4 linked regions of the Schizosaccharomyces pombe genome follow. Changing the gene in region 2 together with the main gene of any one other region gives a genetic interaction. Each region holds a gene or a part of one and is shown on either strand. Other genes may lie near its edges. The genes, in order: otu2, ppk15, qcr8 and hac1.

Region 1 (3,512 bases), 2.4 Mb from region 2:
GCGATATAGCTTGCTTACAAATAATGCTATTGTGTTTGCGCTTGTACTGGGATCTGCATTTTACCATTCTTGGATAACTCTTGGATGTGGAAATGCAAATTTTTATTACGCAAGTAACCTCATTCTTGCTCTTGGACTCTCTTTAAAAATCATGGACTTTCTCAAGGCACTGCTTTTGGTTGATTGGTATGCCAATCACCCACAGCATGAAAATATTCCATTAAAACAGGTTCAATAAAGTAATCTGTTAATTAGAAAATGATATTCTTAGGCTTCATCTATCCAATTTCATCATTAGAGCCTCACCTTTCTGACCTTACGAAACGACCTTTTCCAATTTAACGTTTAGAAATTATTTATTCATACATACAAATAGGAAATTTATATTTCATATTTTTTTCCTTTTCCGAGACGATTCAAGGACTTTTTTTATTTTTTTTCATATTAGGTATTCATGGCATCCCATGGCACTACTCCCTTTACCACGAAGTACCCATGAAAAGTTTTATGCAAAACTTCATCAGCCATTGATGTTTAGTTCCAAAAGATATTTGAATTCCTTTGGTTGGGAGGAAGGAAACGCTTTAAAAGAAGGAGGGCTCACCAAACCAATTTTAACTTCTAGAAAATATAATACTCATGGGGTATGTCAGAATAAAAAATCTTAGAAAAAGATGGGTTTTTTCAGTAAAGTTATGTATGAATTTATTTTTAACACACGGTAGCTTGGTGCTAAACATGATATTGCTGATCAATGGTGGGATAATGTTTTTTCTGCTCAACTACAGTCAATTCAAGTAAATACGGACAACGGAAAGGTAAAAACAACTTAAATATACAATTTTTCCTATCTCTTTTACACAGTGCTAACATTTGGAAAAGGTTGCAGTCCAAAGCAATGGTGTATCTACAAAATTGAGAATGGCAAAATATCACAGCAAATATTCTGCTCTGTCTTCTGTGTTTCGTTATGCTGGTCGACTTTGTGGTACCTTTGAGGAAGATTTAGTTGATAAGAGTCTTGATTCCTCTGTTTCTCCAGTATCGTCCAAGAAAGTCAAAGTCAGAAAAACTTCTGGCAAAGAGTCTTCAAAACGAGAGAAGTCCAAAAAGAAAAAAGAAAAGAAGGAGAAGAAGGACAAGTTGAAAAAAAAATCCAAGAGATTAAAATTAGATGATTCTCATACTCAAAAACGAAAAAGAAAGGTTCGTGACAAAGAATCAAAAAAATCGTCTAAAAGTGGACTTAAGAAGGTTTCGGGTACTAAAAAGGTAAAGGCTTAAAAGGAAAGAAAAATCGTTTGCCTAGCTTTAAATATGAACAAGAATTGGAATTCTTTATTTTACGATTCGTCCAGAAGTCTTCGAACATCCAAACAGCAAGTTTTCTAATTCTTTGAAGTTTCAAAAACACACTTTATTTAAAGCTTTTTATTTGTTTTTCTTGTAGTTTCATTTCGTTTATCAGCGGGCATACATTTGTTGAACGACGGGGTGTATTATATGGGTATCAAAGAATTTGGTATTTGGAAACAGGAGTCTAATTGTATATAAATAATTAATAAATTATTAGAATTGAATTGTTTTACAAATTAAATGATGTTTAATAGGATCCTAGTAAAGAATATATATTTTATTATAAAACTCTGCATTGGATGATTGAATGTTTACAAAATGAATAAAAGGCTATGCATGGAAAGGGAATATTATACTATGTAAATATAATGTCTAAATGAATTAAATTGGAAGCATCGAATGAGATGTCCATTAGCATATTATTACACTCAAACTACCATACCAACTCAACAAAAACGAAAGTCTAAAAAAATGGAGGAATTGTTAAGTAAGCAACGGGAAGAATGTAAAGAACTTCAAAGCAAAATTACAAACCTTCGTAAACAACTAAAGGAAGGAAATAAAAAACAAAAAAGGGCTTTGCAGCAAAAAATCTCACAAATGGAAGCCGATTTATCACAAAAACATGCTACAGAACGACAAAAATTGGATAAAGGCGATGAAGAGACAAATGAAACGCAGCAAGAAGATCTCCTCAATACGCTTTTACAACAGATGGAAGATACGAAAATTACGACGGCAGAAAAATCATCAGTTCAGTCCTCATTGAATACTAAAGAAAATACACCGCAACAGCCTAAAAAGTCTAGGAATAGACAAAAAGAGCGACTTGTAAGTGCTTAACTTTTGACGAATTATCACTAACAAAGTTAATTAGGAACGACGTAAAGCAGAGATGAAAAAAATGTCTGAGCAGGCAGAGCTAGAGTCAGAAAAAATGGCTGATCTCAAAAATGAAGAGAAAAAAAAGTTTTCAAAAATCCTTGAGGAAGCTGGACTTGTTGCAGTCGATATACCAGCGGATGGAAATTGTTTATTTGCTTCCATTTCACATCAGTTAAATTATCATCATAATGTTAAACTAAATAGCCAAGCTCTTCGTAATAAATCCGCTGATTATGTATTAAAGCACTGCGAACAGTTTGAAGGCTTTTTGCTAGACGAAGAATCTGGAGAAGTTTTGCCAGTATCCGATTATTGTAACGAAATTCGAAACAATAGCAAATGGGGAAGTGATATTGAAATACAGGCATTAGCAAACTCTCTTGAGGTTCCTGTTCATGTCTACAACACAGAAGGTCCAGTTTTAAAGTTTAACCCCTCAACGGTCAAGTTCGAAAAACCGTTGTGTATAGCATATTACCAGCATTTGTTTGGGCTTGGCGCTCACTATAATAGTTTATTATATCGGGACAATTAAAAAGATCTAATGAGATGCTTTAGATAGGTTTTTATCCTTTGGTTTATTAGCTTCCTTCCTCGCCGGAAACCATTTAAAAAGGCTGTGCCTTACGAGTTAGATTATATGAATAATATTTATGAATTAAAACTCTTCTGTATTCTATTAATCAAAAAAAAAAATTAGCCATTATTATCTATCATATCCAGTCATATAGTATGCACAATAAATATTACCAAACATGCTTAGAAAGCTTCATCAGGGAAGCATTAGAAACGGTAGAACAATAAATAGAATTAAGGTAGAACATTACTTGTAGCTGTAAGGGGGTGGTGCCTCATCACTTTTTCTTGGAGGCGGTATATGTGGTTGAGGACGAACGTTAGGAATATCGGTTTGTTGCGAACTTGAGCCAGGAAAAAATGCATGCTGTTGAGCACTCGCCTCAGGTCTTTCGGGAGTAGGAAGATCTTCACGCCTGCGCCTTTGATCAATCATGGCCGAATCTACTGGTTCATACCACCCACAATGAGAACAACGAAGTACCTGCTCTGAGTTAGCAAGTGAGTGCTTATTAGTTGGACAGCAAAATAATCCCAACTTTCCCTGGAAAGCATGTAACATTGAAGATTGAAGAATGGCTTAGAAAATAACAAACAAGGTCTGTCAGGTTTCCAAACAATGATAAGTAGAAAGGGTCAACTACATAACATATGCTTTCTTGAATTCCCTTACCTTACTCGTATAAACCGGGAGA
Region 2 (4,510 bases):
TCTTTGTTTTTTGCTGTTCTTTAAGCAGGTCCCTTTGAGCATTCAACAATGTATCAAACGGAATCTCAGCTAACTCTTCAAATTTGTGAGTAAATATTAATTAAGAAAATAAAAGAATTTTTAACATACGACTTTTAGCTGTTTTTGATTCGTTGTTTGAGTCTTCATCGTCTTCTGAATCTTCATTATTAAAGTTTTCAAATTCTTCTTCTGAGACCAATTCTTCGTCGCTATCTAGATCATCTTCGTAAACACCCGCATTAGCAAGAGTCCCATTTTCAAGTGAACTTGATTTCATTTTGGCGATTTGTGAATGTCTACTACATAAAAGTATAAAACCTCTCTACATAGAGTATTTACCGTAGCGCTAAATATAGCGTTAAATTTGTAAATGCTTTATACTATTTACTATTGAAAACTGCATATTGAAGCCTCGAAGGAACTTTGAAAATATTCGTAGTATGTATATATCATCAAAAGTTTGAATGCTTTATGAAAATTGAAAACGTTTTACGAAAGCTATTAGAAAATTGGTACAACATAAAAAAAAAATTTGGAATGGATCATGCCTATTAAATATTTTAAATAAATTTGAATGTTTCTATACGTAAAATATGACATTAGAAAAATTCATCTACATTTTCGTTCTCATTAGCGGGAGGATAATATTGAGGCAGCGGTCGAGTATGTACAAATTCTTCAGGTTCGTTGGAAACATAAGTGCTTGCACGCTGTAAGGAAGGAGGAACCACCGCTTGATTTCCAATAGTATGAGAACGGTTCCTCGTTCTTTGAGTTGTAAGCAGTGGTTTTTGTTTGTCAATGCAGTATTGACTGAAAGAGGCACCTGTGATAAAAGGATGATTTTTCGCCTGGTCAGGAGTCCATCTCTTCAAAGGATTTAACTCTAAAAACTGCTTTATGAAATCGATGAAACAAAGTCTCTCTTCATGTTCTTCAGGAGTAAGCTTAGGTGTGGTTTTTCGGCGAGGATAATTTAAAACAATAGCATCGAGTGTCTTTTCACCAAAATATTGTTTTCCAGGTTGCTCTGTTTTGTTGTTTTCGATAGAAAACTGTTCGATCGATTTAAGCTCATAAGTTTTTCTACCGTTTACAAAACCAGAATTGTAATATTTCTTCGAATTTTTACCCATTTCTAACATCCAAGTGGGAGGATTACCAAGCATGTCAACAATCCGACATAATTGATTATATTCGGAATTTCCAGGGAACAAGGGAAGACCTAAGAATAGTTCAGCTAAAATGCATCCCAAAGACCACATATCAATTCCACAGTTATAATGTAGTCCTAAAATTACTTCCGGACTGCGATAGAATCGCGATTGAATATAGGTATAAACTGTTTGGCGTTCGTGACAAGCACTACCAAAATCTATCACTTTCACAATCGGTGATGATAAATCCTGCAACAGGATATTTTCCGGCTTTAGATCACAATGTATGATTCGAGCTTGTTTGAGGAGAGATGTGCACGATAGAAGTTGCGTTGCGAAAGAACGAACAAGACTTAAATGTAAACCACGGAACTGATTTTGCTTGATAAGCTCATAAAGATTAATACTGAGTAACTCAAAAACGAGACACAAATGATTTTTATGCATAAATTGATCATATAAACGAATTAAATGGCGCTTGTCTTCTGGATCGTACTTATTGTTAAGGAGCTCTAGTATAGAAACCTCCATCACACATTGGTTATAAAATGCCGGCTTATTTTTGATAACTTTAATAGCTACAATTTGTTGGGTTTTAAGATCTTGGCATCTAGCAACTTGACCAAATGTGCCATGCCCCAGGGTGTCGAGAATCAAATATTTACGGCCTTCATCCGTTCCTAGCAAATCGTTAACATACAATACATAATCATGATTGACGTTATCAAAACCATGGTTGTGAACTCCTTCACTGGGTTTGGTGAGTGGTCTCCGAGGGTTTTGTTCGGAAGAAAACTGGAATTTTGGATTACAAATTGAATATGTATCAGCTAGTTTCACAGTCATTGCTTCTAAGGGCTATATGTTTAATTAGTAAAATGCAGAGCAAGTAAAAAATTTCGTACGCTAATATAGCTTCCATGGGGAGACACCCTTCTGTAATTGTATTTCTTGGTTGCCGGTTTGACAGGAGCAAACAAAGTTGTTCCAGAAGACGAGACATGACGAGCATGATTATTACGCTGCGAGTGATCATGAGTCCTCGCAGCAGGAGGATTGTTCGATAATGGAAGAATGGGCGAATCCGAATCCATATGAATAGAGACGCCTTTTTGTAAAGTATTGCAAAGAATATATCAGTATAGGCAGAATACGAGTGCCTTCATTCACACTCGAATCACTTTAAAGTAACGTAAAATAGTGATCTCTTGGAACGTGAGTCGATGCACAACAGTGCAAAAAGGAACCACAAGTTATACTATTTACAAAGTAGTAGTTGACAGATTAACCAAAGGAATCTAAAAAAGAAGTGCTTTAAAGGAAAAAAGTCAAAGAGTTTGAAATGAACGCACCAACCGGCTAATCAATTTAATGGAACAACTGACAAAGAGCTAGTTTCGCTTACGATAATCTCGATCTGGAACAAAGGGAAACACTTGTGGATATGAAGCTTAAAATATGAATTTGGAGGAATCTTCTAATTTTCTTGTTTATAGCGTGTAGCTACAAATACAAATATAATATTCGGCAGAAAATCGAAAATATTCACTAAAATAAGCCGATAAATATGCACAGTGCGAGTTGAACGAATAACTAATCAACTCCACCGTATAAATTACAAATTTATACGAAAAACAACACTGAGAGATTTCGCAATTTATTGAAAGATGAAGGATTTAACCAAAAAAAGCGGCTTGGTTAAAGGATAGAGAGGAATCTGAAGGAAAGGGATGACGACACACCGCTTTGTAGTGAGCCGCGTGTAACGGCGCTGACGATGACTGAAATAAAGTACAATTGCTTGCTATGCCTTAATCAGTTTTACTGATTTTCAATCTATTACGTAATAGAGTGTATCAATGAATTAAAAGGCCGTCATTAAAACTTTGGCTTGCAAAAAAATACAAGAAAAAGTTACTAGAAGAGGATCTTTTGATTCTTATATTATTAAATAGTTGGATCTTAGATCCCAATTAAATAATTAAATATTGTTTCAGGTTTCCGTGACATGACTTAAGAAGGCGATAATTTCGCTTACATTAAGGTTCCTGCTCTTACTCTCCACAACGAAATCAATTCGTATTTGAAAAGACGAATGAATTTGGTGCAAAACATCCGTCTATACCAATAACCGCGATAAATAAGAAACAACTTCCATTGAAAGGCTTATTCGAAACATCAAGCGCAATGTTTACCAATAGTACGCATCCTTAATTCAGAATAGTAGCAATTTTTCGAAAAAACGGATATTCTCCATACTTAGTATATTTGGATGTTGCACAACCATGTAACCGGTTGGATATTAAAAGGAGGAAAAACGTTTCTTGTTTGGCATCTATCTGTAAATGAAGGAGTCGTTGTTAAAACATTCTCCACGCCGACTACATTCGTACATAAAAATTTTCGCATAAACGACAAACGAAATGGTTCCTAGTCCAATGTTCACACAAAAATCTGTAGTGAATGGACGAATATTGGTTATTGACTTCAAACATCTAAGGAAACATAAATAGACGCAAGATATCAGAATCGAACTAGCTTATATGTAAAAATGTTCCTACCAACTAATGCTCCTACGTACTTCGCATGACACTAGATAACATAAATATTTCAAATTTTAGATCGCTAACAAAAATTACAAAGCACAATGATATTCATGAAAGATATATGTTGTTTAGCTTTGAACCTTTATTGAAACTGGGAGTTCATTTTATTTATGAAACAACCATACAACGTTATGAAGTAATATTTTTCTGAATCCAAAGCTGAAGACGTTTAGTCCGTGAAATTCAAACATCCATTTACAATTGTGGTACCAAAAAGTTTCCCAGTCTGGATTTCAAGATGGCTACAGAAACTGCAAATACGCCAAGACTCACGAAAATGGAAGAGTTTTCCTTATTGACGACTAAAAGATGTTAAATTAATAGTTTTACAGGGACATACCCTTTTTGAAAATATCTTTTTGAGCAGAAATGCGATCCATTTTTGACTAAGTGGTTGAAGGAACGTGGCTAAATACCGACTTGTAACGTAATTTAACATGACTGTGATCGCTGCCATAAACAGTGATCAGGTAAAATGTATGGCTTCAATAACCCTAATTGATAACCCTAAGAGCTAGCTGTATGGATTTTGTTTTGCAGTAGAGGAAACATTCTATACTGCAATAGTTTTTTAAGACAAAACGCTTTATATTTAGTTTACTTGGTCTTACGAAATAATCAAGAGTAGCGCTGCGGAAACAAATTTTTTCCTTTAAAATTTTCCATAATCATTATCTTTTTTAGTATTTTTTCATTTTTTTTTCGGGGGAGGGGTTAGAATAATTT
Region 3 (3,054 bases), 2.2 Mb from region 2:
ATTCCGTTTGATTAAAAATTCTCGAGGGAAAAAAGGCGTTTTTAACGAATCTTCACGAATTTATGCGATACCCATATTTGTCTGTTTACTTTAAAAGTAATATCTAAAGTCAATAAAATTACCAACAGTACAGCATATTTGTTTATTTCATTATGCTAAAAAAACTCTACATAAACAATCAACCCTAATTTTAGCAGCATTAATATAGCCATTTCATCAGCACAAAACCCAAAATAATTGTCGTTTTAAAAATAAGGTGACAAATCATAATTTTGAGTTCTGAAATAAAAAAATTTGGAAATATTTATTTTCGTTAAGAACCCAAATTTGTCAAAATCATAATGCGTGGAAAAGTACAACTTTTATATAACATCTCTTTAATTTTAAAGGGATAATAAGATAAAGCTGATATGTTTAGGGGAGCTCGAATAAACCTTATGAATTTGCTGCTAGAAGCAGATACATGGAATGAATTAAGGATTTACATTAAGAAGCAACCCAGAACCACTGGAACTTTGGGCATTAGAACCAGCTCCAAAGGGAAGATAAGTGACCTGTGCACCTTTATTAGCAAGTGCAGTAGCCACCTCTTTACTTGTCTCGAGACGACGAATTTGGATTAAAGCGCCACCGGCTTTATCAAGTGCTTTGGAAACAATATCAGCCGCTTCTGCTTCACCCTCAGCGCGAATAACATTAGCTTGTCGCTCTTGTTCGGATTGTTCTACTAAAAATCTAGCACGCTCGGCTTCTTGTTGAGCAATTTGTTTTCTCTCTACGGCTTTCGTAAATTCTTTTCCAAAAGTCATATGAGTAATGGATACATCTTCCAACCGAATTCCAAATTCGGTAGCTCGTTGAACTAGTTCTTGGCGAATTTTGGCAGAAACTACTTCTCTTTGAGTAATGAGCTCTGCTGCATCAAACTGAGCAACTACGGATTTTAAAATTTCGTTTCCAATAGAAGGTAAGACACGCTCATCATAATCTAAGCCTAAATTTTGGTAAATTTGAGGAAGCATTCCAACTTCGGGACGGTGTAATACACGCAATGTTAAAGAAACCATCTGTAAATCTTTACTACCCGTAGTAGTTGCGATATTTCGTGGACGTGTGCGTACATCATAAACAATTGCCTTTTGTAACCATGGAATCAAAAAGTGTGTGCCCTCCTGAACAACCTGTTTCTGCACACCCGACAGACGGTCAAACAAAACTGCTCTTTTTCCCCCCGGTACATCGTAAATCGAAGATTGTAATAGAGTAAATCCAATACCTATTGGTATTGCATAACGTGCAACTCTCTCCAGTACTACAGCCATCTCTTTAATAGTACGTTGAGCGCTGGACTAAAAGACCAAACTGAAAGGGAAGTCCGTTTGAGCAAGACTAAGTATGACTTAACTGCAACCTCTAGGAAAATCTATATTCATGATTAATAAATACATGATCTTATTATTTAGAATTTTAATAGTAAAACTAAATAAAAATCTTGAATAAAAAACCAAGAATTTGTAAACGTCTGAATTATTATTGGTCTAGCAGACCCGCACACTTACCCTTAACAAACATCTGACTTTGTAACGGCAATCATCAATATATTATTGTTTTAACAAAATGGGTGGTGCTGCTGGAGGAAAAACTTATTTGTAAGTGCAACTTAAAGCAGTTTCTGTTTATAATGGGTTATATGACTTTTCTTTGACGCTTATAGCGTGAGACGGTGGACACAATTGGTGTTTATTTCGTAAAGCCATTTTCGTCAGCGAAGTTATATACATTCAAATAGCTGCTGAGAATATCATTGAACGTTTTTATTTATACTAACACATGAATAGAGGATGGTGGGGCCATCTGTAAGTGCTATAACAATTTGATACATTTTTACTTACTTTAATAAGAGGTGGACCTAAACAAAAAGGAATCATAACATATTCCCTTTCCCCATTTCAACAGAGACCAATGGCCGGCTTCTTCAAAACTTCTACGCAAAATATGTTTCGTCGCGTCATGACTGAAGGTCTATACGTAGCAATTCCGTTTGGAATAGCTTACTATATTTACTGTTGGGGGAAGGAGCGTAATGAATTCCTCAATTCCAAACATGGAAGACACGTAAGTTAATGACTGAAGAATCGATAAGCAGCTATGGTTTGCAGCATTTTTCTATACTTCTAAATTGTGTCAATAATTGTCATTTTACTAATATGTGGTTTAGTTGGTGGAGGAATAATGATGAGAATGAAGTATTCATTTTGGTAGAAGGATTTACAAAATTCTTCCCTACCCTTTCCTTATTGGGTTTACAATTACTATCTCTCTCCTCTCATTATGCTTAGTATCAGAAATCTATATATCCAACAAAATTACTTTGTGATATGATCTATCTCTTGAATTTGAAAACATTATTACTCTTAGTTTTGACTTTCATTTGATTTTGTCTTATAAAAGACAAGTTGTAATGCTGAAACAGCGTCTTCTTCGCTATCGTGTGTAGAAGTTTGTATTGTTGTTCCCAGATATTTTTTAGTCAAATATTTTAAGGAATATCTAAACGGCGGGCCTCTGGCATGCGTAAATAGAAGAGCAGTATCTATGACACGTTTGTGAATAAGCCTCATCGCATTCAAATCGTTTTCTAAACCATGTCCTATTAAAATTGTATTTTTATTCATGCCAAGTTCCTTTATTTTAATATACATTTGATCCATGGTAATTCCTGATTCTAATTCTTTGGCATCATGTATCCCGCTAAATCGAGTATTGAGACTCAAAATTTTGCCTTTAGGCTTTATAAACACATCCATAATAATGCTTTCCTTTGCTACCACCGTCAAACGAGCCAATTCCATCCCGTTCGTAGTGTAGCATAGTTCACAATCTAACGCGCAATGACTTAATTGCTTGCTATTTGTACTGTCTGGTAAGTAGGAAAATGGATGAACGCTAGCAAGATACGGAAGATGTCGGTATTTGAACACATGGTTGTCTTCTATAATACAACCAGACGAATCGCCCTCTTTTACACCACAGCAAGTGTATGTACGAATCTTC
Region 4 (4,664 bases), on a different chromosome or scaffold from region 2:
GTTATTGTCTTTATTTTCTTATTTTCCTTTCTCTGTGCACTAATATTAAATGATTTTACTCTTACTATTTACCAATTCTCTTGAGCAGATGAAGAGAGGAATATTTTAAAAAATTAGTGTAATCCACGATAACGTACAATTTGCTTTTTCAGAAATCACACACGATTTCGTTAGTAAGTTTAGCCGAACTTTAGAGTTGTGCCTTATACAGATATCTAGAGATCATTTCTGTATAGCGAGCGACCTTTAGTACGACACACTTAGCAAAGTCAATGACGTTTCAGTCAAACAAGTGACTTATATAGGATTCATACGTGCATCCCATTTCATCGTTTGCCAACATGTCCCTCGCTTGGAAAAATGAGTTATTGAAGCTTTTAAAAGAAAATGTCGACTCCAGTGGAGTTATTCATCCCGAATACTTCCAGCTGGCAACTTTACCCACTGGTAATGAAATTTACCCCAGAAATCGTACTGTAGCTATTCGAGGATTTGTCGGTACAGGATGGCATAAACCACGTCCCGATGATGTGCTAGCTACAGATTTATTGGTATTCTCTACGGATATTGCTTCTCACAAAGCTGCTGAGATTGCTGAGCAGCAAAAAAATACATTCCCCTCTGGACCCATACCGAACGCATTTGAAATGTGTGGATGGTTACCAAAGACAATGCAGCAAATTCGTATTTCCGGTCAAATTTGGTTATACACACCAGAACTTGCCGACCGAAATGAATTTCCCGCAGACAAGTTGATCCAGGATCATTTAATAAACAGCAATGGCCGCATTCCCGAAGAATGGTCTTGGGAAGAGGAAAGAAGACGTATTTGGGAGTTACATAGTCCTGAACTTCGCGCTTCCTTTTCTACTCCTCCTTCATACTCCAAATACCAAGGCGATGTGAAGGTGTCACCTTTACCTTCTACCCTCACTGGAAAAGAAGATCCCGGGGTTATTGAAGCTTGGAAGACTGCTTGGGGTAGATTTTCTCTTGTTGTTTGTGAGGCTAACGAAGTCGAGTTTTTGAATCTTACCCCTCCTCCAGGAAAGCGCGTTTTGCACAATAGAGATCTAAACACGAAACAATGGTCCTCCACTCGTGTCAATGTCTAAATGTTTTCCTTTTTTTTCGCACATCCTTTATGAATTGATTGCTCTTGATAAACGTGCAATACTTATGAACTACGAATATTAACTTATAATGATTACTCCTAACATTTTGGTTCTTTTTTTTTGTGGAGTATATGAAAAAGGTCTGATTCCCTCAAATTTGCCTAGCTTACAATTCGGTGGGTTTTGTAGTTGAATTTTTTTTTAGTACTGAAGCATAATACTGAGTACAAACTACAAACTCAGTGTATTCCGAATTTTCTAATGTTTATTTACGTTGTTAAACAACTAAATTATCACTTATCCTATGTCAAATTTCCAATCCGGCCACTTGATGAACTATTTACGTTTATAATAAATAAAAAATTATGAAAATTGTGTGTATTAAAGTACTTACAGGAAGACATTGTAAAAAATTGTTGCGAGATTAAGCAAATAGGCCAACCTACCTGCTAATGATGATCATTTATTAAAAGATCTTACCTGTATAATATTATATTAAGGTTATTACTATATGGCTTGTTTTATTATCTTATATTGTCTTACGCAGGTAGAAATGTAGCAAAAAAAAGGGAATAAAGCACCACATAAGAAACACAATGTCTTATTTGAAGGGACGGTGAATTGCCAAGTCATTTAATTTTATCGAATCAGTATTCATAGAACCGTAAAGGTCCCCGTTGAGTTAAGTGGCATTATTGAATACATGTGTGGATCTTAACTTATTAACGATACAAATTTAAAACCTGTTAACGTATTCCTTACTATACATTAAATACTTTAAGGAATTTTACCAAATTGGCTTATACATTGGATTATTAGTACTCGGTTACATAAGGGATTAGCAATTTCAAATACAGGATTGCTCATCCATCATTTTTTAAGCATTGCTGTTATTTAAGCTCATCTAGATCAGAACTTCTTTTTCTCTCTAAAGTATAGAACACTTGGTTTACAGAGTGACATACACTTCAGTTTGTCAGTTTATTGAGAAATAGGGACGGTATTGCTAGCTACTGGAACCAAACCCACCTTTACTTTGCTTTAGTCTTTTCTTGTTTTCTTCTGTCTTTCTTTTGCATTGAGCTTTTCATCGCTTTTGTTTGGTGAACAATATTATTCAATTTAGAGGTACATATTAATTTGTAATAACAATGTCTATAAGCTTTTCGGAATTGGTAGCTAAGACATTGTTGGACTTAGAGGTTAAAGTTGTTTTTGGCATTGTTGGCATTCCCGTAATCGAAATTTGTGAGGCTATCCAAGCAAGTGGAATTCGGTTTGTCGGGTTTCGCAATGAGCAAAGCGCAGCTTATGCAGCGACTGCCTATGGCTATTTAACTCAGCGCCCTGGGGTCTGTGTCGTGGTAGGCGGTCCTGGCGTTGTACATGCCATGGCCGGTGTTTTCAATTCTAAAACCAATCGATGGCCTTTGCTGCTTTTGGCTGGATCCAGTGAAACATTTCAGCAAAACTGTGGGGCCTTCCAAGAATTGGACCAGGTTTCTTACTTATCACCTCATACGAAATTAGCCGTGCGCCCCCCAAGTCCCAAAATGGTTGTTGATTCCATTCGAAGAGCGTATCGTGTCTCCATGACCGGCACTCCTGGAACATGCTATGTTGACTTGCCAGCAAATTATATTGAATCTACTGTCGATGACTTTCCTAAAGACCCTCTACCCCCAATTCCTAGTTCTCCCAAATGTGCACCTGATCCAACACAGCTTCAGAAGGCTGCATACTATTTAAAAAATGCAAAGGCACCTCTGCTTGTCGTTGGTAAAGGTGCCGCATATGCCTGCGCTGAAAAACAGCTCTTGGAATTTGTTGAACATACTGGCATTCCGTTTCTTCCGAGTCCCATGGGCAAAGGTTTGTTACCAGAATCGCATCCCTTAAATGTGTCTTCGGCAAGGTCAGCTGCTCTTCGTAATGCAGATGTAGTGCTCTTAGCAGGGGCACGTTTAAATTGGATATTTCAATATGGTCTTCCACCAAAGTGGTCTCCTAATGCCAAATTTATTCAAATTGATACCAATGCTGAAACTTTAGGAAACAATGCTGCAGATTTGGATTTAGCAATTTGGGCTGATGTAGGTCTGACAATAGATTGTCTTTTTAAGCTCGTTCAAACTTGGAAGTACAGTGTTGGCATCTCGACCCCTTACCTTCGCACGTTAAATGAAACCCGATCCAAGAATGAGAAAAAGGCTCTTGAATCTCGAAAGTCCAGTATACCGTTGCAAATGAATTATGCTTTGTATGTCGTGAATGAGGAGCTACAAAGCTTATCGCTCAAATCAAAGCGTAATATCACTTGGGTTTCTGAAGGCGCCAATACAATGGACCGGGGCCGTCAGCTTTTAGAAGTAACTCATCCACGTGGTCGACTGGATGCAGGCACTATGTCAACAATGGGAGTTGGTATGGGATATGCTATTGCCAGCGCATTTGCCCATTCATCCGACAAAATAGTGGTAGTTGAGGGTGATAGTGCTTTTGGCTTTAGCGCCATGGAACTGGAAACCGCCATACGCAACCAGCTGGATCTTTTGGTAATTGTAATCAATAATAATGGTGTTTACCATGGATTAGATACTGATGCTTATGAAACTTTACGTGATAATCACCAATTACCGACTACTGCCTTAGGCACTAGTATACGTTATGATCAAATTTGCGAAGCATGTGGTGGTAAAGGTTTCTTTGTAAAGAATGAAGAAGATTTGAGAAGTTCCCTCAGGAAAGCATGGCAAACCTCATCTGTATCTCTCATAAATGTTATGGTGGACCCGGAGGCTGCTCGAAAATTGGTAAGTATTAATGGAATGAATTAGGTATAAGAACAAGCTAACAATCACTAGACATTTGCATGGATGAGCAGTACCAAAGTGAAACCAAAGTTATGACCATCATTTAATTAAAAATAGAAGAAGTGATGTTCTTTTACGATTCTTAAAAATCGGAATACAGTTATTGTTGCTATTCAAATAAAGTCGTTTATTAAAAAAAAGTATTAAATATAATCTAAAGGAAATTAAAAATATTAAAAAATATAAAGATAGTGATAAAACAGCAGAATTAAATAAGCTTAGAGTATGCTTGTTCTATGTCCTTCAGCAACCATTCCTTAGTAGAATTACGATTTCTTCTTAAAGGTAAAGCACCTTCATATGTACCATTATTAGGCTGAGCTGGTAAATCTAATATATGCGAAAGAATGCCATAAATTTCGGTGTTCTGGAACGGTGCAAGCTTCTTTCCCTTAAAATTCTTAAAAGAAGATCCTGAAGCGATAAAAAGTGCTCTCATCACTGGAGACAAATTGTCATAACCATGTACACCCAAAGGCTCATACTCCAACTCCGGTGAATGATCCAGCATCGAGACAAGAGACCATCCAACATCCGGGATCATCCAAACGGGAGCTATTCTTTCATTATTTGAGTAATGCCATCGAGAAGGTATATCTTTCTTTGAATAAACATTCCAATTCTCAGCAGAAGGTAATGACGAGCGAGAATAATTAACAAGACTTTCGTAAATGTA

Evidence for each region.
Region 1: mutations in ppk15 (region 2) and otu2 together harm fitness less than expected from each alone (positive genetic interaction), as found in Schizosaccharomyces pombe (one large-scale study listed by BioGRID).
Region 3: mutations in ppk15 (region 2) and qcr8 together harm fitness less than expected from each alone (positive genetic interaction), as found in Schizosaccharomyces pombe (one large-scale study listed by BioGRID).
Region 4: mutations in ppk15 (region 2) and hac1 together harm fitness less than expected from each alone (positive genetic interaction), as found in Schizosaccharomyces pombe (one large-scale study listed by BioGRID).

Annotation. Positions count from the first base shown.
Region 1 is NC_003424.3:4,969,362-4,972,873, forward strand, and holds otu2 (OUT family ubiquitin-specific cysteine protease Otu2), read left to right. Parts: upstream 1-1,804; 5' UTR 1,805-1,827; coding exon 1,828-2,187; intron 2,188-2,233; coding exon 2,234-2,776; 3' UTR 2,777-2,945; downstream 2,946-3,512. Other genes in the region: gab1 (Pig-U family GPI transamidase subunit), read left to right, coding at 1-238; tma23 (ribosome biogenesis protein), read left to right, coding at 531-644, 726-818, 883-1,284; SPOM_SPAC1952.04C (uncharacterized protein), read right to left, coding at 3,065-3,301, 3,491-3,512. UniProt on the Schizosaccharomyces pombe protein: Hydrolase that can remove conjugated ubiquitin from proteins and may therefore play an important regulatory role at the level of protein turnover by preventing degradation.
Region 2 is NC_003424.3:2,583,517-2,588,026, reverse strand, and holds ppk15 (serine/threonine protein kinase Ppk15), read right to left. Parts: upstream 2,855-4,510; 5' UTR 2,273-2,854; coding exon 2,084-2,272; intron 2,037-2,083; coding exon 621-2,036; 3' UTR 553-620; downstream 1-552. Other genes in the region: tom6 (uncharacterized protein), read right to left, coding at 3,980-4,086, 4,125-4,164.
Region 3 is NC_003424.3:4,765,493-4,768,546, forward strand, and holds qcr8 (ubiquinol-cytochrome-c reductase complex subunit 7), read left to right. Parts: upstream 1-1,563; 5' UTR 1,564-1,617; coding exon 1,618-1,649; intron 1,650-1,838; coding exon 1,839-1,856; intron 1,857-1,901; coding exon 1,902-2,115; intron 2,116-2,218; coding exon 2,219-2,233; 3' UTR 2,234-2,414; downstream 2,415-3,054. Other genes in the region: ypa2 (serine/threonine-protein phosphatase 2A activator 2), read left to right, coding at 1-15; prohibitin Phb1, read right to left, coding at 474-1,322; exonuclease Rex3, read right to left, coding at 2,415-3,054.
Region 4 is NC_003423.3:1,206,699-1,211,362, forward strand, and holds hac1 (2-hydroxyacyl-CoA lyase Hac1), read left to right. Parts: upstream 1-1,976; 5' UTR 1,977-2,266; coding exon 2,267-3,928; intron 3,929-3,979; coding exon 3,980-4,024; 3' UTR 4,025-4,158; downstream 4,159-4,664. Other genes in the region: SPOM_SPBC725.03 (pyridoxamine 5'-phosphate oxidase), read left to right, coding at 342-1,115; npp1 (nucleotide pyrophosphatase), read right to left, coding at 4,197-4,664.